Linked DNA regions of Coturnix japonica. The protein of the gene in region 6 purifies or fractionates together with the protein of the main gene of each other region. This does not show direct contact. Links are inferred from orthologs where the notes say so. Each region holds a gene or a part of one and is shown on either strand. Other genes may lie near its edges. The genes, in order: caspase-8-like, SRC, RIPK1, CREBBP, BTRC, IKBKB and FKBP5.

Region 1 (3,218 bases), on a different chromosome or scaffold from region 6:
GTCTCTTCTGAGACAAAATTGTGACATTTCTAAGACACAAACTGACTTACCTGTGAAGACTGATCACAGTTGCCCAGAGAATCAGGTGCCACAGATGATGCCAGCCATATGGCACTGTCTGAATACACACACAAAACATGTATAAGTAAACAATTAAAAGGGAGTTTAAAGCGCTGCAATCAGTTAGTAAGCAAAAGGATGCCTGATCATTGTCAGGCACATGCTTAAAGAGGCAAGATGTAAGCAGTGTAGAGAGTACAAAAAGCTGGAAAAGATCTAAACATTCATTTTTGAAAAAGTTTCAGTTACCTCTGGGGGCTCCTGTGCTGCTTCTTCGCCCCTCTGTTACAGGCATCTCTCCTTCTCCTGAAAAGCATTCATTATTAGTCCTGTAAGACACCTTATGTATCGCTTCAAGAATAAAATGTGTGAGAAAGAGGACTTGTTTTGTTTTACCAAATGTGTTAAATTCATACTCTTCAATTTTCTTCAGCAGGCTCTTGTCCACTTTTTCACAAATACTCTTCAGGACAGTTAAGTCGTCTTCTCTCAAAATCCCCTTCTTCTCCATCTCAATGAAAACGTCGAGCATTGTCTGAGCAATCAGAAAGGTAGTTTGCTCTTAGGGCAGACCCATGCTGCTACTGAGAAGGAAGCTGCAGCATGTTTAGGTGCACCCAAACTGGCTTTAGTGTACCAACAACACAAGTAAACCACTGTCAGTCTCACTGCCTCAGTTGATATCTCAAGCTGATTTAATTAAATGTAGGCTGACAAAAGCTAGGAGTACAATGACTAAAACTTTCTTCCTAAAACACACTTATTTCCTTCCCACTGCTCAGAGATGCTGAGAGCTAATAAGATCTAACCCAAGAGAGTTAATAGTAATCACACAGGAACAAATAGTGTCATTTTTAATGACTCCTATCATTTACCTGACTTTCAGTGGCATCTTTGTGCCTTTGACTGAAACCTAAGCATCACTGTAGCAAAAATGGTATAACCATGCAAATATGGTATAAAGAGTTCTCTGAAGAAAGAGAGAACCCAAGGGACAGAAGCTTTTGCTGGAGTGGCAGAGCGCAGTGGGTCACCTATGGATTTACTAAAACAGCCACCACTGGATAGGCACAGTTTATCCTCTAAGAAAAGAGGGAAGATTTTAAAAGAGATTTCATTAGGCAGAACAAAGTACCTGACAGTCAAAAGGGCAGATTGACATAGTATTCAGAGCAGCTGGATCTCTTGCAATTATGTAAGTTAACTCCAAGATCATGGGCCTTAGCTCTAGTAAGGATGTCTGCCTAGATCTGTTTGGGGTTTTCTTGTAAGAAACCAAAACATTACAGGAATAGCCCTAGTAGGTGATTCTTAATTTGTTAATGACTTACTTAGAAAGCAGCCAAAATTAAACCAGCTGGAAAAGATAAATGGAAGTGCTCAGCCTTCTACTGAAGAAAGCCAGTCAATCCTATATGGAGTTTGGGTGTGCAGGCATCATGCCTGGCCCAGGGCTGGCCTGTTCTTTCTGGGCTGGAGAAGTACTGCTGGAGCAACACATAACACTGGCATGCAACAAGTCCTCTGTGCACCATTCCAGGTCCTTTCTTTTCCTTATGGAAAAGGAACACTCATTCCCTTCAGTGCAACCTAAATGCTGCTATGTATTATAGCAATGATTTAAGGAATCAAAACAAAAGAAAAACAGAACAAACAATTCTTACAGTTTCAGGGCTTAGCTTGCACTTTGGTAATTCTTTCCACAAAAGAAACTTGAAACACTTCATCTCATCTTGGGTGATGTTTTCTGACAGCTGAAAGAGCAGATACCTAGAAGGAACAGTGGAGGACAGTTTCATTATGTTCTCCAGCATTTTCCTTAGCACAATTTAACACCGTACCATTGAACCATCCCCTCAGCTCCCCCAGCTGCCTTCCCGGGACAGCTTTTTTTCTTTTCATCTGAGGACGTTAGTCCCAGAACAGACAGAAGTCAAACCATTCCAAGCTGCAACTAAAAACATCTGTTTTCCCAAAATCAGAATTGCACGGAGTGTTTCTGCGTGAGACATGAGGGCAAAGACAGTCACACCCAGTCACTGACTGCAGCCCAGAACACCCAGGCGGGGAGGCCATTGTAGTCTGCAAATTATCTCAGAAGTGTAGAATCACCAAGGTTGGAAAAGAGCTGTAAGAGCATGTAATCCAACTGTCTACCTATTGCCAATATTTTCCCACTAAGCCATGCCCCTTAGTACCACATCCATGTGTTTCTTGAACACCTCCGGACACAGTGACTCAACCACCTCCCTGGACAGTCCATTACAGTGCCTCACGTCTCTTTCTGAGAAGAAAGCTTAGTCTTCTCTTCTATTTGACAGAAATTGTCTCTGCTGCTTATACCCGCTTTCCTTGGAAAGATGGAGATGCTTGTGTTTTGCCAAACCTTACCTGGTGCTAACTCATCAGTAAATATCTTGCACCTACCCACCCAAGCAGGATAGCTGATCCCAAGAGTGCAACTCTGCCAGGCTTTCACCCCCAGGACCCTGATGAACGCGCACTGCCAGCTGCTCACCTGAATGGAGACACCCGTGCCCTGCCTGGGACCTGGAGCTCCCTCTCCATCTCCTCTCGGCTGGAGCCCAGGTGGAAAGCCAGAAGGTCTATCCGATTGATCCGGTAGAGCAGCTCCTTCAAGAAGAACAGATCCCCTGCTTCGATCATCCCTTTCTCCTGTAATGCTTGGAAGAAGGCCTTGGGTTCCTCAATATCTTCCTGCTTTCTTACAGTGACGTGCTCCAGGCTGAGAAACTTCAGAGACGCCAGATCATTCCTGTCCAGCGCCTCGCTGATCACGTAGAGCAGCTGGGAGAACTCCATCTCCCCGCAGCAGCTCCAGCCCTGAGCTGGGATGGGCACCACTTCCTTGTGCACCCGCGCTTCCGTGCTTCCGCCCACTTCGTCCGGCGAGGCAGCGCCCAGGCTCCTGGGAGCTGTAGTTCTGTCTGGATTCCTGGCTTAAAAAAAACGCAGTTCAACTCAGAAACTGCTTGTCTGCCAGAGAGGAGCTTTCTGACACAGCTGAGGCCGTTTCCGTTCACTGTTACAGAGCACTGCTTAAAAAAAAAAAAAAAAAAATAGAGGCTGAAGAAGTAGAAAATCCCGCTGTACGCTTGGCACGGCTGGGGGGAGCACAGGGGCCGGCCAGCGCTCAC
Region 2 (4,217 bases), on a different chromosome or scaffold from region 6:
GGTGAGACTGTGTTATCTCCGGGTGCTGCAGTTCCCCATTTTCCTCTCCAAACCCTTCACCAACGCAGACCTCAAGACAGGACCCCTCACGTTACACTGTGGGTATTCCAGCTCCTCCACACCTCTGCACAGCACAGCCATCCTGGGGCTGGGAGCAGCCCCCCATAAGGTCTGAAGCAAAGCCACCAGCCAGACCCCAGCTTCCCCAGAGCTTCTCCTCCCTGTATCCCCACTATTGCTTTCATCCCCTCCACATCTCCAGCACTGCTTTGCCCCCCCCGGCAGCTCCCAGTGCATCCCAAGCATTCCCAGCTCTGTGCCCAGGAGGGCAGTGAGGAGATCCGTAGCCTGGAGGGAAGTCAGAGCAAGACGCAGATTTACAGGTCCTGGTTCCTGGCCCACGTTCAAACCACATGAAATCTGTTTCAAGGCTTTCTTTTCAGCCTGTGCATGTGCAGAGGCATGTGCAAAGCAGTGCCACTTCCCTCACACCAAGGTCACAGCACCAGAGCAGGGCTGCACTGAGCATATGGCCCACACCAACCAGCTCCTTTTTCCCCTGGCCAAGCAGACTGCAGAGCAGACTATCACACAGCATCACACTCCAGGGAGCTGACCCACACTGCTCACCCTGCATCCACACTTCCGAGAGGGCTTTGAGCTCAGAAGCTCTGAGGAAGTGAGGTCAGCTGGGAAATGGTTCCCAGAGATAAAGGGCCAAGTTAGAAACCGTGCTGCAGGACGGATGGTACAGGAAGCAATAGTGCTGCAGATAGCCCTTGGTGCTTCCCCTGCCATGCCTGGGGTGGTGCGGGGCAGCAGTGATGCACGGCTGTGCTTCCCCTTAGGCACGTGGACTGAGTGCTCCAGCCCAGGGCTTGCTGCAACCCCTTCTCCATCCAGACGTGGCACGTGCTCACTGGTCATTAAAACATGTCATTGTGAGCCAGCCCGGAGCCCATGTCCCCTCTGTGCCACCAGTTTGTTCCTTGTGTATGCAGCAGAGCCTTCACACATCAGACTCTGCAAATTACGGCCCCTTCCCTCGCTGTGCTGGGACAGACAGACCCACCTGGGTGATCTTGAGTCACTCCAGGACAATGTCATTCAAAAGCAGAGGTATCTGTAGGGCATCTCCATCACACAGGGAGCACTGCAAGGCCACTGACAATCTTAACAGCGAGCACTGCACATCCCTCTGCTGTGATGGCCCATAAGCAACCCCAGCTCCAAAATCACCGGGCTGTATTTTGGGGAAGCTCCTGAGCACGAGGTGCTCAGATAAGATCCAAAGCTAAGAAGATAAGGTCAAAGCTTGGGAATGGGTGCAGCCCACAGCCTGCTAAGGAGAGGTGCAGTGGGATCACAGACAGGCTCACAGTGGCACAGTGCTCCCCAGGGAGCCTCATCTCAGACACTGAGCAGCAGAGGTTTGTCCATGGGCCAACCATTGAGCCAGCACGAAGCAGCACAAACAAGCAGCAGCAGCAGGGGATCATCCTGCAGAAGAGTGCAGGGGAACAACAGCATCACACTGCTCCCAAGCACAAGGTCACCGGCATCCCACCACATGCCCCATCACATCCCTGGGGACAGGGGTGAGCACCAGCACGGAAGGAGGAAAAACACCAAACTGAGTCTTTTGTTGCCACATTCCCACAGCTCCGTTTACATCCGATGCTGTTGGATCAGTGCTGTCCCATTCCCAGCACTCAGGCACTGAGCACCCTACGGGCTCCAAACACCACTGAGTGGGGGAACATCACCCACGGGAGCTGCTCCCTGTACCCTCAGAGCTCCCGGGCAGCAGAGAGAAGGGACGGTCAAGAGGAAACCAAACTGCCGTGGGGCTGAGCCGGGGACCGAGCGCACTGCATGGGGTCACGGTCAGCAGGGGAAAGTCCACCCAGGCCCCGGCGTGGTTCAGACAAGTCCCACGGTGCTTCCTCGCGGCGGAGACACGCACAGCAGCCGGGCTGCTCCGGGAGAACCTGCCGGCCGGGTACAGCCCTTCCCCGGGCAGCGCGGGGCTCTGCAGCCTCCCCGGGCGAGGGCAGAGCGAACGCCCGGCGGAGCGCGGACACGAGCCCCGAATCACCGACGAGCGAATATCGAGAGGGAAACGGAGCAGGAGACATCAAAGCAGGGGGGCGATGAATATTTCATGCCCCGGCCTGCACACAGCCCGGCTCTCCCTGCTCTGCTCTCCCAGTGTTTCCCGCAGCCCCCGATCACAACAAAGGGGAGTGCGGGCAGGCGGGGCCGGACCCCGCAGCTCCCCCCTCCGCTCCCCCGGCGGGCCCGTCCCCATCCCCCGGCAGCCCCGCAGCCGGCCCCGGGACCCCGCGCACTCTCCGCCGGACCCACGGCCGCCCCACGCAACCCGGAGCCGCCCCGCCGTTACCGCGGGCATTACGGAGCCGCCCCGCTGCCACCCGGGCATCCTCCACCGCACGGCGAGCATCTCCCGCCGGCCCCGCAGCCGGACCCCGCGGGGACCATCCCCGCCGCCGGACCCCGCGCAGCCCCCGCTCACCTCCCGCGTGTGCGCCCCGCGAGGCCGGACCCCGCCGCTCCCCTCCAGGGCTCGGCCGCGGCTTTGTCTCCGTGCCGGGGGCGCGGCCGCCGCCCCCCGCAGCCGCCGCCGCCGCTCTGGGTGCCCGCACCGCGGGCCGGGCCGTGCCGGACGCTCAGGGCTGCGCCGCCGGCAGCATCGCGCAGCACCGCGGATCCGGAGCGCCGCTTCCCCGCCCCCGATCACCCCTTGTACGGGGTGTGTGTGTGTGTGTGTGTGTGTGTGTGTGTGTAAGGGGGGAACAGCCCACAGGGAGGGAAAAAAAACTAGGAATATGGCAGCAGTAAACCGGAAACGGCTTATAGGAAAAAAAAAAAAAAAAAGAAAAGAAAAATCGCCGAGCCCCTCCCCTCGGGTTTTTTTTTTTTTTCTTTTAAGGAAGAAGCCTCCGGGCTGCCGGGCTCGGCGGGGTGCGGAGCAGCGACCGGAGCCGCCCCCGCCCGCGGCTCTACCGACGCACCCCGTCCCGGAGCCGCCCGGTCGCGGCGGGGCCACGCGTGGGAGCGCGGCGCGGTTCTGAGCTCGGCTCCGAGCTGCCCGCCCGGGATCGGCGAGAGGAGAGCGGTGATTTGCACTGAGGTTACAACCCGGCTGCTTTGCGGTTCGCTTTTATTATAGCGACCGGGGCACGCAGCGAACAGCCGCTTTGTGATGGATTCTGCGCCCTCCTGCATCCTCGTCCCCATCCCCCTGATCTCGGGGAGGAGGCAAAACTTCAGCGCAGGGGAATAAACAGGGAAAGAAGAGCGTGCCGTGAGCCTCCCCGTGGAGCCACGAGCGTGGACGTCGTGCCCACCCCTCGTGCTGCCCCTCACAGCGACCAGAGCGGGGGCTTCTGGAAACTCCAGCGCTTCAGAATCAGTGCGGAGGGTGACTGAGTTTGTTTGCAGTGCGCACCCCTCCCCCGGCTCATTTGAGTTATTAAAAAAATATTTCCCGTGACACTGCCGAGGGCCAACAAACCCATGAGTCACCGGGAGTCATGCACACACCGAGCCGTCCCCACCGGCCAGCGCATCGCACGGGGGGGCCTTCCTGCCAGGAGCAGCCTGATCATCGCTCCCTGCATGAATTGGAGGCTGCGGCCCCAGACTGCAGCCTGGTGTCCGTGGAAAGTCCTTTCGGTGTTGTTAATTCTACAGGGCATAGCAGGGCATGGATGGATGCTGCACCCACAGCGGCTGCCCCAGCCCCACAGCCCCGCAGCCTCCTGCAGGCAGCACAGCCCCGGGCACCGGGCTCGGCCCCAGCCCCGAGGTGCTGCTGCACGGGCTGAGCCCAGACCCACATTGAAAATGGCCACCAGACACTCCTGGCATCCAGCCTCTCCTCTTTGGGGCTCTGGCTCAGCAACGTGCCCTCGCAGCACCCTGGCAGGGGCCCTCCCGGCTCACGGCTCAGCTCTGTGCCCGAGGCGCGTTCACCTGCAGCCCTCCAGCTGCCCTCTCCTCCTGCCCCACTCCCAGCCCTGCTCTTCTCACCATCCCACCCATGCTCTTTGTGAGGCATTCCACTCCCTTCCCTGAAACCTCTTTCTTCTTTCTCTTCACCTTTCAGTAGCACCAAAAACACACGGTGGGGGGGCAGGGCAGAGAGGGATGCAGAGGCTGAAACTAGAAGTGAAAGGCAGGTGCTTTCCAAT
Region 3 (3,027 bases), on a different chromosome or scaffold from region 6:
GAGACTCCACCACCCCCCTGGGCAGCCTGATGATGAAGATGCTGAAGCTTTTTTCCTCACTGATCGTAATGCAATGCATAAACTGTTGGCTACCAAGACAAACAAAGGCTACAGCATTTACCTCTGGTTATTGGAGTTGCAGGAGGATAATATGTGAAAGTTCCCCTTGTGAAAGAGGCAGAAACCTTGATACCTAAAGAGAGAGGAAATGCCAGAAGTGTTATGGAAATTAAAAAAAACAAATCTACAAGTACTGCTGTTATTTGTACAGTGTGCATAGCGCTCTTAAATACAAAAAGACAGAAAGTTTTTTAACAAACAGGACTTTATCTCCTTTAATAACTCTGAAGCAGTTACCCTTATTGTGGTTTTGCTTATGGACTGATAGCCTTTGTGATCCTTGGATCCCAGTGAGAACAACAGGATTCCACATGGGTGTATGAACACCTGCCTGGCAGAAAGCAGCACAGGATCACAGCGTAGACACAGGTATTACTGCCTCCAAACCAAGAAGGCTGCCGAGCACATTGCTATTTACTGCTGAGACTGATCATGGTTTGTTAGCATGTTAGTTGTGACCAGCTGTAGCTGGGGATGCCACCGTATCTTCTGTTGGTAGCAATAATGTCCTGCAGAGATGTAACTTCCTGTCTGATGTAGTAATGGATTTGGATGCGCTCAGATGAGCTCTGACAGTTTGTGACTGGGCAGTAAGAGTGACTGGGTTATGGTCACCAAATAAGACAATAGAAGAACTGCAGTGCAGGTCTTCTGCATCTGCCTGATGCCTGCCATGATATTGTATGTTGCCTCCCTACAATGATTGCTTCCACTTGTTACTGACACTCACTGTTCTCTTCGTTTTCTCCATAGCTTTCTATTCCACAGTTCACTAGCAAACTGTAAGGGCATCTCTGTGTTAGCACTGAGCAGTGTTCTCTGGAGAAACCAGTTAAGAGCTTTAGTTCCTTGTTAGCTCCCTGAACTCTTAACTTGCTGCAAATCAAGCTTAAATATCTCTTTTCTGAAATGCTACATGCACATACATGAGAAAAGTTCCATTTTTGCGCACACAGCCTGTGGTGTGAATGTTACATTCTGTGAGTCAAAAATACTCCTTAGTTTTCCAAGTGTGATTAGTAAGAGCTCTTGGTTTTGTTAGCTGCTGCAGTATTATCCACTGTCTGCTATTATTAAGGCTGCTTTGTCTTTAGAGGAAAAAACACATTTTCAGAAACACAAGAGTTAAGAGGAGGAAGAATCTCACCTGTATCCACATCTGCATTCTTTTGTTGCTGGTTTACGCTGTTCTGTGCCCCCAGGTTTGGGCGAGATTCCGGCACAGGAGTTTTGCTTAGGCTAAAGGCACTTGTTGAACATGGATCATAGCGATCTTCAGTGTTTCCTGTTAGGAGACTGTTAACGTTTGGCCCATAAAAATTTTCTAAATTTCCCTGAGTTGGTATTGCAGCTTGTTTTGGCCAAAACCAAGGGTTAGTGTTTGATCCTATATTTTCAGCTTTGTAATACAGTTCACCCCATTGAGGAACAGAAGGCAGCTTTGCAAATGGATCATTGGAAACTTTAGGTCTCGTTTCTCTCTCTCTCATTTCAGGGCTGTATGGTGGAGCTACTGATTTATCCATCCGGCTGCCGTATGCATGGTAGTCGTATTCACGTTCAAGTTTTCTTTCAAGATTGTCAGGGGATGTAAACGAAGTCTCACAGCTCTCAACAGGCTGGTTCTCAGGGTAGGCAGCAAACAAGGCTTCATTAATCTGACCCTGAGAGCTGTGTAGAGAATTAGGTTGATCTGAAAGGGAAAAAAATGAAGTATTTAAAACAGATTCTATTGCAAGTATATAACTAGTGGTGACATTAGATTCTATTAATTTATTTTTAATACTATGGTAAATTATAAAAGATGAAACTGTAGCATCACTTCCAGCATAAGCTGTTTTATGTAATACTTCCCTTTCTGGGAAGTGTCACTGAATTATGCTTAGGAAAGCAGTGTCTGAATTCACTGTGTATTCTGCATATATCGACACCAGGTTCTTAGTCACTGAAACAACAGGTTCCCAGCAGCACTCATAGGGTCTAATTTACTACCAAGTCTTGACTTCATTAACTGGTATTTAACCAGTGTAAGACCAGAGTATAACAAGATGGAAGATAGAACTCACTGTAATTGGCGTTACTTAATGCAACACAAATAATTTGTCACTGAAGTCATATCTGCAAAAGATTATGTAGAAATCCTATCTGGAGATGTCACCAAAAAAAAGCACAAAAGCATCTGTAATCTGTAGTCTTACATTATTATTTTTGCTAGGGAAATGTACCTACGCTACTTTAAAAGTACAGCAATTGGCCTGCCTTACTAGGTCCAATAGTTCTACTTCTGTTATGGCAAACATAGCTTTGGTGAAGGTTTATCGGTTGCCTGTTATAGTTCCAAGTTACTTGCTTAATAAAATCTTTACAGTGGTGTGGGCAAAGTTAGTAGGATTTGACTTCTACTGGATTTTAGAAGTACTGAATGACTGAGTCTCTCCATAGCTACAAAAGGGGCAACTTTATCTTTAGCAGAGTACATGCCAGGATGATGTGCTAGTTATGCAACTTGGAACACCCACCTATTTGGCCATTGCTGGTATCTACTACAGCATCTATTTGAAGGGATTTCATCCTCTGCAGCAGTTCTTCTGACTTGGGCCACATTTCCTACATGTAAGAAAAGAGCATATGGTCAAGTTATAGGTAAAAGCTTAACGAGAGGAAGCACCTATAGAATAGAAAACACATCCTTATACTGAAGTCACCTGGGTGAACAGATTCCATCAATCTTACAGAGGACAGAGCCTTGCAGAAAATAGCCGCTGCTTTGCTACAGATGGGCAAAATCTTATCTTCAGTGAAAGGAGGAAGAACTGTAATGCAACTGTAGTAATTCTGAGCTGGCCAGAGAACACCATTTACCTAAATGAGTATAAGTTTAATTGGCACATAGGGATACATTTCATA
Region 4 (3,500 bases), on a different chromosome or scaffold from region 6:
AACACAGTGAAGCTCCACCATCCAGAGAGGAGACCAACAGCATATTTTCTCCTTCTCTTTTGACACTGTTGGCTGCTCCTGTGTCAAGATTCATCCAGCAAAGGAATCCCGCAGAGCCAGCTCTCCAGAAGGTAACCAGATGTCCTGAGAGCTGGCACAGGGATCTCCTGGCCGTGCCATGCAAAGAGTCCCGGTCCAATGGACTGTTAATTGATTTTCAAAGTGTTAATACTTCCAAGATTTACATGCATCATTACAACCACTTGGCAACAGTGGCATGGCAACAGCCATGTTTCTTTCAATAGTGGATGACAAGGACAAGAAAGGCAATGCATTTTCTGAAAAATAATGATAACTTGGAGAGCTCTTTGAACATCTCAGCAGTGTAATTACATTTATTTCCTTAGGAACAGGGGCTTTAAATAGGGAAGAATGCCTATTATTCAGGAAAAAAAGACGACAACTAAGAAGAGCAGGATGGCATTTAATATTTATCTACCTGGCTGAAATGAGAACAATACCAATAAAAGGGAGCAATTAGGAGTTCTCTTGAAAGCACTTAAATCAATAGGGCTACAGTGACCCCTCTGAGGCTGATCATTGCTTTTGTTGTTCAGACTGTGCTTTATTAAGATACAGACTGGCTTGAGGGGGAGGGAAAATTCTGGTAAGAAAACAAAAAAAATATATATTTTTGTAATTTTTATTTTTTAAACTTTTTCCCCTCCTTTTTTATTAGTGGTTTATTTTTGAGAGGATTTTTTTTCCTCTCAAAACATGGGAAAAAGGCATTAGAAGTTAAGCTGACTCAACTCAAGACATTCTGAAGCTTTACGCTCCCTATGTTTTCAGGCATCTGTGGATGCTGAAGCTCCTGCAAGTTGTAAGTCAGGATGAAAACAGTCCCTGCAGAGCAAATGGAAGCTGGAATATAGTTTGAATGCATTGCCTGTACCTGGGAGAGGATTGCTGCTCGTGCACAAGTGGCAAACTAACACAGCTCAGCCAGCTAAATCATGGCAAAGGGCTACGCAAGCTGACACAAGGCTGCAGCAAGGCCCTGCTGTGGGCCTGCATTGAGCCCCCACTAACTCTGTTCTTATGGCACCAAGCAACACAGCCATGACTTCAGCTGATCCACCACCTCACTGCTGACAACACAGTAATTTGCTTCCACTACACTTTCCCATGCAAAGAATCCTTATATATACTCTCAAAACTGTATAAATAAAGTTGTATTACAGAATTCAAGAACAGTGGGAAACACAGCGTAAATACTATGTATTATTTCTGCAACTGTTTTATCCACGTACTTTATAAACCTGATAATTCAAATGACTTCATTTATTTGAATGTCAGAACGTACCTTTTAATGACCCATTCTGGACACCTTGACACTGCTCTAAGAAGTCTCCCTGCACTGACCCACATAACAACAGCTAAAGAACCTTTCTAAACAGATCTGATCCCAATTTAAATCGGAACAACAGAGCTTCAGCAGAACTTCTGTTAAGTAACTCACAGACTAAGCATCATTCCTGAAAACATTTATCATCTACTTTCATATTGGTTTACAACATATGTGTATTTAAAATCCAGTTATTCAGAGTTATGACTTCACTTAAAAATATGAAGAAAAGTTGCCTTCATCTTTAACTCCTAAGGAAGGTGATTAAAAACAGAGCATTCGATCACAGCATCCCTCTGTCTGCAGGTAAATAGGGAAGTCACTGTCACTCTTCCTCACTTATATGCTCCTGGTTCTCCTCCTGCAGCACATCTCTGTAAGGAGCACATCCAACTATCCCTATTTCGTCTTAGCTGTGTAGGTGGTAAGAACAAAGAGGGATCTCTGCCTGCATCACAATGTGCTCCCTGACAAAGAACAGTAAGGCACCCCCTTTTTTAACTCCTAAAAGAAGTTTCACTTCTTCAAACAGGAAATTTTGCTTATGGTTACTAAGGAGAAAATCCTGAAAGGAAGATGAAGATGTCTTGAAAATAAGGAATACACTGAGGAACCTTCCCTCAACCCAGACCTTTCATTATTACGACCTATAACAAAGGAAGAGACCAATAAAACTCATCCTGCAGGCCATCACACTATAAGGCAGGCAGCTACAACGAGAAGAGGTGATGGGAATATTACTTCTATTGAGAAGACTGCAAGGGAAGAGGCAAGCAAACAAAAGCCTTCCCTTCAATCTATGGTGTTCAATACAACTCCCATGCCATCAGGAGTCTCAAATACCAATGGAAAATGAAACCAATGTAATGAATGAAAAAACATGAGATGAGTCTCGTAAGCAGTTTTAAGATACCATAAAACCCTTAAGCACACTTCACTGTATTTGCTCTTGAATACTTCTTGGTTTATTTTGTGTTTAAATGCAAATGCTCCGTTAAAGCTGGATAAACTACTTGGTGAGGAAATGGCTCAGTTTAAAATTGCGTATGTAGTTATACCTGCCTGAGCCACACATATATTACACTGTATGGCTACTTAGTGACAGCATTTCTATGACAAGAACAGTGTTACTAAAGGAGGTGTTGGAAACACAAGTAACCCAGACTGAATCACCAGAATGACACAGTGCAGCTCTGCCTCTGTAAGAACCATCTTCTCCCAGCTACTGACCTGCAAGAACACTTAAGGAGAAGCAATGATTCTTAACACTGGGAATTCAACCTGTTTGTAACTGTTAGTTTGAAACAGGCTCTGCAGCGCACTCTGGTTTGGTTGGCACATTGTGTTACAAACTGAAATTCACATCCACTGCTTTATTCTAAGAAGACTATGTCTAATAATTAAATGCAATGCAAGGTATATACAAGAGATCAAGATTCAATCTCTACAAACTAAAACTTTATGATTTCTTGGGCACATCCATGCATCTGTGATGTTATTCTAATGTAATCCTATGTAGCTTTCTTTCAAAGAAAAGAGCTCCTGTGAAAGAGCGTTGGCCAAGATGTACGGGGAGGGATTCATGCACATCACCTGAGCAGCAGCCACTTCCTTACCACCTGAGTCCTTCTGGGCAGAAACTGGAAACTGCGAGGATACTGCTGGCATCAAGAACACAACACGCTGCTCCCACCTCTGATTCAAGTAACATTAAAGGAATTCTACTTTCAAAAACAAACGAGCCCCTCCCAGCACAACACAGACCGTAGAAAACAGAAGAGCTCTTTAACAAAGTATGCAAGAAATCAGTTTTCAGACACATACTTTTTTTGCGGGGCTGAGATGGTGATGTGGATTGTGAAGTGGTTCCATTTGTGCCACTTTCCTCTTCCTCCTTAGCATCTACTTTTATTTCAGGCTTCTTTTCTTCTATTTCCATTGGCTCTTGTTTCAGCTCAGTTCCTTCTGTTTCCTCTTTTGTTTGTGAAGATCCTTGTAAATCCTCCTCCACCTTAAGAAAGGAGGCAATAAGATGCACTGTTACACCTCTGACCCAGGCTTCAGTCCTTTAAATATTAGCTTATGAGATTGT
Region 5 (3,500 bases), on a different chromosome or scaffold from region 6:
AAATGAAGTGGTCACTAGTTTAACGGTGGTAGTTCACATGCAGCACAGTGATAACCACGAGCTGCCTGCAGCCATAGGAACACATGGTAATAGCTTCAGAAAAGGCCATTGGCACAGCTTTTTGTCATCTGTAACTTCACTGCATGGGCATTGCTGATTCTCTGACAAAAAGGGGATATGTAACAGCATGGAGAAGGCAAACTTGCTCCTTTGTGTCCAAGTTCACTCACTAATTCAAGTGTGACCATATTTACACTGCAGGATTTAGGCTCTCTGGGATCCTGTAATATGTTTGCTGGACTTTACATCTGCATAGTGAAAATGTGCACTGTGTGTGCTGACTTGAGGTGTCCAGCCTTTTACTGGAGACTGGAAAGAAAACAAGGTTAGAAAGACTGAAGGGGAAGAAACATCATGCTGAAACTTAATTAAAACTCACAGGAGATCTAGTCACACATCTTTGTTAAAATTAAGGGACAGCAGATGACTAAACCTTCAAACTTGCTTTGAGTACTTAACCAACTTGTAAAAAGTTATTCCTATGGAGGATGTAAAAGCATTCCCAGGGAGCATCCAAACACACAGCACCTTGGTGAAATGCCAAATTGTCTTCCTAAGTCATCTCCACCTTGACTGACCTTTGCTTAGGTTCTCATTTCTCCTTGACAGCCACTTGCACGGACATCTGATAAACAAGGACAGTGCACTCCTGAACAAGCGTGCAGAACTAGATCACAGAGCTAATCAAACAGCACAGATTTAAGAAAAGATCATTTCAGCAGCTTGCAAAGTTGAACTTTCTGAGGCAAATGGAAAGCTCTGAATCACAAGCACACACCTGACAGTTGAGTCTGAAGATCCAGTGATGATCACTCGCTCATCATACTGCAGGCACAGGACAGAACCCGTGTGTCCGGTGAGAATTCGCTTGCATTCTAATGTATTTTTATCCCAGATCTAGGAGAGCAAACATTAGAGAACAGACAGCTAAGTAAGGTTTACATCACACTTTAAGCACCTAGTGATCTGACTGGTCTGTTTTTCACTATTAGGCATCATCTACAATGCAGGCAGAACTACCTCAGTGGCATGATGATGTGCAGGCTGTTGTAATATGCTAACACCTTTGGTATTACGAGGTTTGCTCTGAACACTGGTCTTGCCTCCTCATCAGGGCAGAGCATATAACCTGTAATTACTGAGTGAAAACAGTCTGCTAACTAATTCTGTTCAGAAAGAAAACAGTCTCTGATGGCAAATAATAAAAGGTATATATGTTTAGGTAAGGGGTGAAGGAGAAGGCTTGTTTAGTAACAAGAGGTTGGAGAGGTGTCATTGAAATTAGGACACTGCTGTTTATGGCACTGGCACCATGTGCCATCAGCAGGCCATTCGGGAGAGTTCTCACCTTGATAGTATTGTCTCGTAGGCCACTGACTATCTTCTGATCATCGTACTGTAAACAATAAACGCCTTTGCTTGTCTCACTCCGGCAGTGGATTCTCTGTAAACTGTGCCTTCCACACCTCCAGTTTGACTCTATTGTCTTGAGGAGAGACAGGAGACAAAATAGAAGTAAAAACCAAAGACAAAACTCTCCTTTTGTTTGCTTGAGAAGAGAGCAGATACTTCCCTTTACACTTTTTCCAGCAGCAAGGCCCATAGAATGACACAGGAGTTTTCTAGAAGCAGCAGCGTGTGATGAAACCAATGAGACAGGCAAAGGCCTGGAACACACACTGTGGCCAGACTCCCTGCATGGTCTGGCATGGTGAGGGAGCAATGACCTAAAAGTTGTTTTTTCAAACTCCAACCTTTAATTCTGTGACTCTACTAAACAATTGCAGAGAAAGACCTCATGTGCATGGATGGGGCAAAGTACCACAGAATAGAGAAAGTCAAGATGGTAGTGTTCCTATGACATCTGATGTGCAAAGTGTAGAGACTCCCCAAACAATGCAGCTCCCCCTCTTTCTAAGGCAGTGATGAAGGCCTGGGAATTTATATGTAGCCCAGATCTTCCAACTCCTGATGAACACAGACACACCACACTTAATGAAATACTCCATCAGCATTAAACATTCACAGAATCTGAGCATGATGACTAAATGAGGGAGATTGTTAAAAAAAGGCAAAATGAAACAAAAAAGCCCATCGCACCTGGAAGGTACTTCTTACCTCTATATCCTGTATAATTTTGGGGTAAAGTGCTCTGTAGAAGGAGTTGGGTGGAGCAGACCCATCAGGGGGTTTATTTTTAAATAGGTATTGTCCCCTGGAAGACAAAGAACACAGATCACGTCTCAGCATTTGTGAGGAAGGTCTTCCTGGCATTTCAGAAACGGGTAACCGCTGCTGAAAAGCACACACAGATTCACAGTCAAACTTCATTTACTCAGTTACACAGGGTGGCTCCTTGTTTGTGTGTCCTGTGACACGTTGATGCTGCATTTAGACACTGAAAAATTCATGACAAAGCAGTTCTTCCTCACTCAGGGAAGGATAACGTACTATTTTGGACATGAGCCCCTTCAGCTCCATAGGAGGTTAGAATGGCTCACACCCACTGCATACATATTCATATCAGAGGTCACCTTTAAAATAAAGCATACAAAGAAAAAATGAGCAGCCAAAGAACCCTCAAGCTCTCTGTGCACTCAGGACTAGCTTTGATCTACATTAACAGGAACAGTACTAGTTTTGGAACACGGACATTTTACTGCTGCTACTTCATTTTGGTAAGCAACGCTTCATCTGTGGTGCCTTCCTCATTTCCACACTGATTTGGAATACTCATATCCCAAGCTAGATTTTTGCTACAACAAAAAATCCATAAACGGCAATCACTACCTGCTGTGTAAAAAACCTAAATTCCTCATCCTGAAGTTAAGAAGCCACCAAACACGGTGTGGAAGCTAGTAAACCCCACCATGGGCGTACTAACTGCAGCTCTGCCTGGCAACATGCCTCGCAAAATGGAGAGAGGCACAAATGCCTCCGAGTGTAATCCTGGCATCAGAGGCACGGAGTTTAGACTGGGCCAGCTCTCCACTTCCCCCTCCCTCACTCCATTACGGCATAATTAATTGCTCAATACTTCATTGTGCATTCTTTTCTTGTCCTTTCCATATAACTTATCTTGAAAGTCATTTGAGAGACTGCATTAACTGGCTACGTACTTTGGGCAAAATCCAGACTAAATCATAACAGTTTTTAGGTATAAACAGGGAGGTCAACTATAGGACTGAACAAACAAAACAACAAATACTCCAGAAAAGATCTTTTGACAATTAGGGAAACTACTTTACATTTAAATTAAGAGAAAGCTGCTTTCTACTTAGGACAAAGGAATCATCTGAGCCTTCAAACAGTAACCAGCAGCTGCCTGTTTGGGGACAAATCTTTGTGAAGAAGGGACATATGGCTGCACACAAATCAACAATTAAGTGGGTCCTTACATGATCCAGTTTGGAAGTGCAAGAAAATTACTACTACTGGCC
Region 6 (4,207 bases):
AATGACAGCTTCTCCACCCTATATCCCATTGAAGGATCGCAGTCCCACGTATTCTCAAAACACAAGATGTTCAGGCATGAACAATTAAGTTTTTTTTTATTTGTTTGTTTTTTTACAGACAAAACCATGGAGCTGGGACCTCTCCTAGCAATAATTAGGGCTTCAAGCCTCAGTGCATCCATAGGATGAGAAAGGGAGAGTGGAAAGTCAGTGTTACTGCAACTTTGCTGGGTCCTTCATAAGCATTTCCCCTGGAGCCTAGCAATACCAGCTCCACTGTCAGCTGTAAGTTACAGGTCTCATCTATGGGCAGGTTATAGCACTGTCAGCTGTAAGTTACAGGTCTCATCTATGGGCAGGTTATAGCAAAGTCAGCTGTAAGTTACAGGTCTCATCTATGGGCAGGTTATAGCGAAGGTTTAAAAAAGCAGTAAGATAAGAAGCAGCACTAGTAACTGTATTTTTTTCCTATTACAGACAGGGCCTGCACCTTGAGCTACAATGGTCTTGGACGTGCTCCAAATCCTGTTGCATATCCTTCACACATGCTCTCATCTTCTACATGCAAAATTGCTGCATTGTTACTTGCAGACAAATAAAAGTCAAAAGCCTCAGAAAGCACTAGAGATTTTCAGAACTTTATCAAGGACTAACGTGTAAAATCCTCTTGGTATCACATAAAGAATTAGGAAGCATCAGAACATGAAAATATGCTTTAAAGAGAAACTCCTAAAAAGAAGCCCCTAGGTTCCATTCCGCTGGGAAGCTAATCCAGCTTTTAACCTTTCACCACCACCACCTGTCTCAGCTGCAGCTGGGACAGTACTGCGTTCTTCAGAGTGCAGGGCATGACACCGTGTATTGGTTCTATAAGAAAAACAATGCTGATACACACCAACGTTTATAGCTGCTGCTAAGCAGTACTGCACAGCATAAGGGCCATTCTCAGCAAAGGCCCAAGTTACTAGGAGGGAACAGGATTAGGACAGCTGACTCAAACTGATGGTGAACAGGATATGAGGGGCTGAGGGCCGGCTCTTCCAGGCTTATTTGTCATAATAATGATCTATTCTCTGACTCAGTAAATAGTTTTTATCTCAACCCACCGAGTCCCACTTTTGTCTTTCAGTTCTCTCCCCCATCTCACTGGGAAGGAGAGGACAGTGAGTGAATGACTGGCACCTCACAGGAGCACCTGGTGAGCTCACCTTGCGGAGGTCCCCACCCTGGCAGTACTCCATGGCCAGCAATGGCAAATCATTCGGTGCAAGCTTCTGCATTCCCTCAGGAACATCACGGGCAGCCACCACATTGGGATGGTTCAGCCTGAGAAACAGAAATAAGGCAAATGGACACCGCACCAGAACCACACCTGCACAGCCTCACACAGTCATGGTTGTCACATTAAGTCCTATAAGGCCATTAATGCTTTTAGAAACTGAAAGTCAGCTCTAACAGCCTGCAATTTATCCATCCCTCACAGGCCTACAAACTCATTCCAGCTCTTTGCACACCCTATGTGTGCCACAGATGTATCACAGGTGTGACATGGAGCTACAGGACGAGCTCAATGCCCCGCCGGGCCGGTATCACCCCCCAGCAAGTTGTTTAGCAAGAGCTAATCAACCCAACACCCCGTGTTAACCAACCCAGAACCCCACAGCACAGCCCTGTGCAGATGCTAACACAGCAGAGCTGCTACGAGGAAAGCCTTAGACCCGAAGCTCTCAGGAATAACAAAGACCTTCAGCACGTCCTCGCTCCATGCCGGACCAGCCGCCCCTCCTGCCCGTACCTCAGTGCAGCCATTACTATAACGCCTATGCCCCTGTGAGGACAGGCTGAGGGAGTTGGGTTTGTTCAGCCTGGAGAAGAGAAGGTTGCGGGGTGACCTCATTGCAGCCTTTCAATACCTGAAGGGAACTTACTCCCAGGAGGGGAGTAAACTCTTGGAAAGGGCTGACAATAGCAGGACTAGGGGAAATGGTTTTAAGTTAAAAGAGGGAAGATTTAGGTTGGATGTTAGGGGGAAGTTCTTCATAGGAGCGTGGTTAGGCCCTGGAACAGGCTGCCCAGGGAGGTTGTGGATGCTCCGTCCTTGGAGGTGTTCAAGACCAGGTTGGACGGGGCCATGGGCAACCTGATCTATGGAGTCTCTATGGGGTCTATGGTGTCTCTATGGGGATCTATGGGGTCTCCTGGGCAACCTGATCTAGTAAATGTGTATGTTCGGTGGCCCTGCCAGGCAGGGGGGTTTGGAACTACATGATCCTTGAGGTCCCTGCCAACCCGAGTCATTCTGTCATTCTATAACGCGCCCATCAGGGCCGGGCCCGGCAGCGCGGGGGCGTTGGGCTCCACTCGGCCCGTCCCGCAGCGCCAGGCCCCGCTGCTCCCCATCACCTCCTCACGATCTCTATGTCCCTCACCTCTTCACGATCTCTATTTATCTGCCTCACCTCTTCATGATCTGTATCTCCAGGGACCAGCGCTCCCGGTTCCTCGGGCTCAGCTCCTGCCGGCACTGCTTGATGGCCACCTGCTCGCCGGTCTCCTGCGGACACAGCGCGGGGTCGGCTGAGCGCCGGTCGGGCCGGGCCCGGCGGAGCGGGACGGGACGGGCCGCCTCCTACCTTGTTGTGCCAGCGGATGACGTTGCCGAAGCCGCCGGTACCGAGGCGCTCCTTCATCTCCCAGGGGCCGCAGGTCTGCGCCTGCAGAGCCGGCGGGCGGCTCATGGCGGACGGAGCGCGGCGCCTCCGCGGGGCCTGGGCCGTCTCCGCCGGCACTTCCGGCTCCGGAGGCACGTGGTACGAGGCGGCCTTAAAGGGGCCGCGACCGCCTTCCGTCAAGTGAGGGCTACAAAGGCGATAAGGAGCAATAAATTCAGCTTTTCCAATGAAGAAACTCTGAGACGTAGGACTCAGGCTGCAGTAGGGCCGCCTTCCGTGGTTGGTATGTATTGTAAAAATGATGTGGTACTTACCACAGAATCACGGAATTATCAAGGTTGGAAAAGACCTAGAAGATCATCCGGTCCAACCATCACCAATACTTCCCAGTTAAATCATATCCCTCAACACAACATCCAGGCAACATAAAGCAAGAAAACACGTTTCTGAAGCCTTTTACACTTCCTGCATTTTGCACCTGGTGTGGAACTGAAAGAATCATAGAATCATAGAATTACCCAGGTTGGAAAAGACTTTGAAGATCATCAAGTCCAACCGTAGCCTAACCAGTACCCTATAACCACAGTACCCTATAACCATAGTACCCTATAACCATAGTACTCTATAACCATAGTACACTATAACCATAGTACCCTATAACCATAGTACTCTATAACCATAGTACCCTATAACCATAGTACTCTAACTCTAAAAACCCTACACTAAATCGTATCCCTGAGTACCACACCCAAACAGCTCTTAAACACAACCGGGGATGAAGCAGAGGCTTCAGGCAGCACCTGAGCAGCTGAACAGTACGTAGGGATCCTAACTTAGCAGCCTCTAAAAAAACCCTGTCCTGATGCAGGATCAGCTGGGAGGTAAAGCAGCGGACACTGCTGAATGGGGAAGGTGCTGTTACTGCTTGCTTTCCTAAAGCACAGTAAGAAGCACACAGAGCACCCACACCACTCTCTAGAAAGCTACAGCTGACCTTAAGCTCAAAAAGCTGGGAAATAACAACTTCTGAAATCCTCACTGGAAGCCATTACTTCATTAGGAACTTTAGAACTCCAATAGCAAAAAAAAAATCATCTTTAAAAGAGATAGAAATTAGCCCGTTTGTTCAGCAGAGCCCAACCAACCTTTCTCAACACAGTCCCATTTGTTCCTAAAGCAGATGTATGGCACTTATGTTCACACGTGCAGATGCATATGACAACCTTGACACAGGTTTCCATACAGAAAAGACTTAAACATTCAAGATAAAGTTTCCTCTTTGCCAACGTGCAAAATGACCCTCAGCATGTTTGCTGACAGAGGATTCTGTGCACTTACGTCCTGAAAATGAGAGGTCCTAACATTTCTTCATTGATATTAATTAACTTGGGAGTTGATTCCAGCAACACTGAGGCACACTGTGACACAAGGTCTCTGTGCCCAAGATTCCGAGGGGATGTCACTGCAGTGCAGCACGCTGCTCCAGCTCAAAGCAGGGCTTTCTCAGCACTACAGCTAAGCCTGCAGACCTCTGG
Region 7 (3,976 bases), on a different chromosome or scaffold from region 6:
GCAGCAGAGCTGCCACGAGCTCATCGCTGCTCACACAACAGAGGGGAACGTGGTCTCATTTCCTTCCAGGCTGAAAAAAACAACACATTTGCTCCTGTTTGCACACCAAAACACAGCCTGCAGGCCACGGAACAAACTTAACTGGGCTCTGCTGCTGCATCCCTGCTGCACCACATCCCCATGCATGAGGAGCACATGTCACTATAGCATGGGGTAAGCAAGGGATTTCCCGTACGCCAGGTCTCTTCCAAGTTAGAGTTTTCTTCTGGATAAATTCAGGAAAGAACATTAGATTTTGATAAAGACATCTCAGTGCTTGTAACAGAGGGCTTTCTGCAGTGCACCGGTTCCTTTCAGCCAGGTGAGCCTCAACTGCAGCAGCTCTCCAGTAATAGGGGGCTCTATTTCATCACTTACATCCTCAGCAGCATTTTGAGAGCACAGAGTGAAATCCCAGAACATCAATCCATGCACACCTGTATGGGGCACAGACCTCCACCTCTGCCTGCACAAAGCAGTGCTCAGGTGAAGGTGCAGTCAGATGCAAGGAAGCTTCTGCAAGAGCAGGTTCTGAGGACCTCTGCTGAGCTACACACGCATGCAAATGTGCACAACTACACGTGCATGCACAATGTGCACAGCCACTTATGCATACAAATGCATACCCCACGTGTGCACAACCACGTGTGCAACCACACACCAGTATGCACAAACCAGTGATGCACACACCAACAGTGCACACTGCGCTGACAGCCAGAAACACTGTTATTGGCAACCAAGACAACACTGCCAAGGGCTAGTTTGATTTAATTAAGCAACTAACGTAAATTTTAAAAACTCCTTGAAGTGGGAATACCTTTAATTAGGGCAATTCTCCACAAGCAGCACTACTGTTTGCGAGCAGCTCCTTCACAGAGCTCCGGAGATTCCCCACTTTGCAGAACACACCACTAGCAGCACCTTACCCCCAATTTCTGCAGCTCCTAAGCAGGTCTGCTCCTATCTGGGCAGTGTTTCCCGGTGTTCTCCCTGTGCTGGGGGTTAAAGATTGACACAAGGCGCTATGCAGGTGCCCAGGGATGCTTTTGGAATGCATCTCCCCACCTCCTTGCAGCACACAGACTCCCGTGGTAACTAGCATAGAAAGTGACTAGCCGAGAAGCAGTGGCACAGCTCAGAGCTCAGCAAAGCCTTTATCAGCACCGAACAATGGGGTGGAAGCATTGGCCAAACTTGAGACCGCCTCTCCCTGGGCTCATCTAGCAGCTAATTATCCTTGAGGAACTAACAAAGGTGGGCAGGCCCGGGTGTCCAGGTGGAGCACCTCCAAGCTTCCTAGTGAGCCTTCTCCTTTGCTTGGCTGCAATTAAAACCCACCTAATTGCACAGGGGCGTTCTCAGCAGGGTGGTTTGGGGTCTGCTGTCTAGAAATCTCGGGTGCTGCTCTCCCCCTGCTCACAGGGAACTGACCCCAGTCCCTCCTCGTCCCAAGGGGAGGGGACCTCACGGGAACATGCAGCCCGTGTCCTGCGGGTTCCCCAGCACCGGGTCCCATGTGTGGCCACCTCCAGGGCCCTGTTATGGCTGCCCCATGGCCACCTCTGGAGCCAAACCACAGCCATCACAGAGGCTTCTTCCAGCACCACCTCCAGGCTCACCCCATGGCTGCATCCAGAGCCACTCCCTACTATCTCACCATCGGGTGCACTTTTCCCTCCCAGGGTTCCAGCAGCTATCACTATCTCCAGCACCTCCACAGAAACCTACATTCCTCCTCCTGCCCCATATTTCCTCCTCCCACCCCATATCTTCTACTCCCACTCTATTTTCTCCCTGCTTTCTCCCACATCCTGGCCCACCAAGGCAGTGTAATGTCACACGATGGGGTCCAGGACTCACACGGCATCCCCTGCCACAGCACCACGGGGACACTGACTTGGCTCAACCCTGGGTTACCCCTTACAGTTTGTAACTCCCATAGGTCAGAACAGCCAGGGGACAGCTGGGGTGACAGCAGCACATCCTGCCAGGTGTGGGTTGGGTGAAAAAACAAACACAAAATCCAGATGATTTGGGAGACCCACACCACTACAGGCAGAGGAAACAGTGGGATCTGAACCAGACGCCCCATTTACTTTGTCCACGCTGCTGCACCTGCCCTGAATAAAACTGCACGTTGCTGCCTGCACTCGGGGGTATTTTTGGTCAATGCCATTAGGAAACTCATTAAATCCTCACCGCGCAGCAGCCTCATTTTCTGACTGAGAATAAATCCCCTCTTTGGACACTGCAGTACCGACGGGCCTCGGTCCTCATCCCAACTGTAATCCTGGTCCCAATCTTAATACCGATCCTAATCCCAATCCTGATTCCAGCCCCAATCGCAATCCTAATCCCGGTCCCAGTCGCCAGACGAACCCCAATCCCGATCCTAATCTCAAACTCGATCTCAGTCCGACTCCGGTTCTGCCGCGAGGGATGCGCTGCTCCGTGGGCACGAGCGGAGCGCACCCAAAGGCGCAGCGCTACGGACCTCAGTCCCTCCCTCGCCCCCTCCGTGGGCGTAACGCTCCGTTCCCCCCTCTCCACACTCCACAACCGACACGGCTCGGCCCCACGCGTGATGCTGCTCCCATCACCCCCATCCCGGCCCCACGCGTGATGCTGCTCCCATCACCCCCATCCCAGCCCCACCTGCTGCCGCCCGCGCTCCGCCACCGCTCGGCTCCGAAGTGGCATCGCGCGCCCGCGCCGGCCGGGTTTCCCCGTCGCTTCGCCCCGCCCCTCTCCCCATCTCCCATTGGTAGCTTCGTCCGCCCGTCTGCTCCACACCGCCCGCAACGCTTTCTCATTGGCCGGAGTGGAGGCGGTATGCAAATCAGAGCTTTTCCCCGCCCCGCGGTGTGACCCGCTGATCCCGGCTCCTGCTCCGAGACGTTTCCAATCACTGCGTTTCTCTCCACCAGGTAGTGAGTGTGAGTGTGAGTGTGAGTGTGAGTGTGAGTGTGAGTGTGAGTGTGAGTGTGAGTGTGAGTGTGTGGGGCATCACTGACACAGCTGCACCTCGTGCAGGATCCCGCGCTGAAGCCAACATCCTACAAAGCTGCAGCTGTGGGGGCTGCGTTGGGCTGCGCGTGACTGCGGCGCTCCATTTGTTCACGTGCAGAGAAAACTAAACGTGTACGAGACTTTGCATTGGAGCAGGGCACCGGGGTGTCTGTACCAGAGCCCTTCCAGCGGCTGTAGCAGCAGCGCGGCGTGGGGGGGCTCAGTCCTCCCCCAGCCCAACTTTGCAATTGGTGTTTGTAAGGAAATTCGATGTTAGAAGAGCACGAGCTGACGTCAACTTCCCCATGCCAGGAAATGCACGGTGCAGCCCTGTCCTCGCCTCACCCGCCCGCAGTGCCTGGGTGTTGTAGCACAGCGTTACGCAAGATCCCGCTGCGCTGGGCTGGGAGCGGAGCTGCAGCCCCCAGCAGTGACATGGGGCGCAGGGAGGTGATGGCAGGATTGGGGCCCACAGGAGACAGCCGTGGGCATAGGAAGAGTGGGGACGTGCTGCAGCGTGGCACTGCAACAGGGGGAAGTCTTGCATGGTTTGGGTGCAAAGCCCTGGTGCTGGGTGTGTTGCTCCCTCCCACTCCCCCCCAGTGCCTGCCCCATCCCAGGAGGAAATCTGCTCCTCTGGAGCAAAATTCCAGGAATAATCTCTGAAGGCTCCGCACAGCTGCCAGGGCACTGCTTGTCCCTCGTCAGTCATCCTTCTGGCATATGGCTGTCCCTGGTGGGGACAGGGATCAGGGTGAAGCCTTGAGCTTGGGCACCCCAAGTGATAGCTGGGCATGCTGACACCTGGGTACCCTTGGGGTGACAACCTGGGGATGTGCTCCCACACCATGTACAGTGTGAGGGCAAAGCCTTCTGCCCAAAGGTAGGAAAAAGGAAAAAGGGGAAGGGGAAGGAAAAAGGAGAGGAG

What was found.
Region 1: the proteins of IKBKB (region 6) and caspase-8-like purify together in Homo sapiens (affinity purification with western blotting; 3 studies listed by BioGRID and IntAct, with this or other methods). This does not show direct contact. The link is inferred for Coturnix japonica from reciprocal best matches to the Homo sapiens genes IKBKB and CASP8.
Region 2: the proteins of IKBKB (region 6) and SRC purify together in Homo sapiens (affinity purification with western blotting; 3 studies listed by BioGRID and IntAct, with this or other methods). This does not show direct contact. The link is inferred for Coturnix japonica from reciprocal best matches to the Homo sapiens genes IKBKB and SRC.
Region 3: the proteins of IKBKB (region 6) and RIPK1 fractionate together in Homo sapiens (co-fractionation; 3 studies listed by BioGRID, with this or other methods). This does not show direct contact. The link is inferred for Coturnix japonica from reciprocal best matches to the Homo sapiens genes IKBKB and RIPK1.
Region 4: the proteins of IKBKB (region 6) and CREBBP purify together in Homo sapiens (affinity purification with western blotting; 3 studies listed by BioGRID and IntAct, with this or other methods). This does not show direct contact. The link is inferred for Coturnix japonica from reciprocal best matches to the Homo sapiens genes IKBKB and CREBBP.
Region 5: the proteins of IKBKB (region 6) and BTRC purify together in Homo sapiens (affinity purification with western blotting; 3 studies listed by BioGRID). This does not show direct contact. The link is inferred for Coturnix japonica from reciprocal best matches to the Homo sapiens genes IKBKB and BTRC.
Region 7: the proteins of IKBKB (region 6) and FKBP5 purify together in Homo sapiens (affinity purification with mass spectrometry; 3 studies listed by BioGRID and IntAct, with this or other methods). This does not show direct contact. The link is inferred for Coturnix japonica from reciprocal best matches to the Homo sapiens genes IKBKB and FKBP5.

The regions. Positions count from the first base shown.
Region 1 is NC_029522.1:9,936,816-9,940,033, reverse strand, and holds part of caspase-8-like, read right to left. Parts: intron 3,117-3,218; exon of another isoform or gene 3,021-3,116; coding exon 2,579-3,020; intron 1,831-2,578; coding exon 1,725-1,830; intron 596-1,724; coding exon 310-595; intron 119-309; coding exon 51-118; intron 1-50. UniProt on the Homo sapiens protein: Thiol protease that plays a key role in programmed cell death by acting as a molecular switch for apoptosis, necroptosis and pyroptosis, and is required to prevent tissue damage during embryonic development and adulthood.
Region 2 is NC_029535.1:4,438,571-4,442,787, reverse strand, and holds the start of SRC (proto-oncogene tyrosine-protein kinase Src), read right to left. Parts: upstream 2,801-4,217; 5' UTR 2,537-2,800; intron 1-2,536. UniProt on the Homo sapiens protein: Non-receptor protein tyrosine kinase which is activated following engagement of many different classes of cellular receptors including immune response receptors, integrins and other adhesion receptors, receptor protein tyrosine kinases, G protein-coupled receptors as well as cytokine receptors.
Region 3 is NC_029517.1:63,195,276-63,198,302, reverse strand, and holds part of RIPK1 (receptor-interacting serine/threonine-protein kinase 1), read right to left. Parts: intron 2,728-3,027; coding exon 2,640-2,727; intron 1,814-2,639; coding exon 1,268-1,813; intron 194-1,267; coding exon 122-193; intron 1-121. UniProt on the Homo sapiens protein: Serine-threonine kinase which is a key regulator of TNF-mediated apoptosis, necroptosis and inflammatory pathways.
Region 4 is NC_029529.1:11,029,537-11,033,036, forward strand, and holds part of CREBBP (CREB-binding protein), read right to left. Parts: intron 3,420-3,500; coding exon 3,233-3,419; intron 1-3,232. UniProt on the Homo sapiens protein: Acetylates histones, giving a specific tag for transcriptional activation. Mediates acetylation of histone H3 at 'Lys-18' and 'Lys-27' (H3K18ac and H3K27ac, respectively).
Region 5 is NC_029521.1:19,987,210-19,990,709, forward strand, and holds part of BTRC (F-box/WD repeat-containing protein 1A), read right to left. Parts: intron 2,276-3,500; coding exon 2,179-2,275; intron 1,547-2,178; coding exon 1,409-1,546; intron 958-1,408; coding exon 839-957; intron 1-838. UniProt on the Homo sapiens protein: Substrate recognition component of a SCF (SKP1-CUL1-F-box protein) E3 ubiquitin-protein ligase complex which mediates the ubiquitination and subsequent proteasomal degradation of target proteins. Recognizes and binds to phosphorylated target proteins.
Region 6 is NC_029537.1:4,085,640-4,089,846, reverse strand, and holds the start of IKBKB (inhibitor of nuclear factor kappa-B kinase subunit beta), read right to left. Parts: upstream 2,801-4,207; 5' UTR 2,739-2,800; coding exon 2,634-2,738; intron 2,555-2,633; coding exon 2,460-2,554; intron 1,327-2,459; coding exon 1,209-1,326; intron 1-1,208.
Region 7 is NC_029541.1:463,448-467,423, forward strand, and holds the start of FKBP5 (peptidyl-prolyl cis-trans isomerase FKBP5), read right to left. Parts: upstream 2,801-3,976; 5' UTR 2,740-2,800; coding exon 2,695-2,739; intron 1,035-2,694; exon of another isoform or gene 857-1,034; intron 1-856. UniProt on the Homo sapiens protein: Immunophilin protein with PPIase and co-chaperone activities. Component of unligated steroid receptors heterocomplexes through interaction with heat-shock protein 90 (HSP90).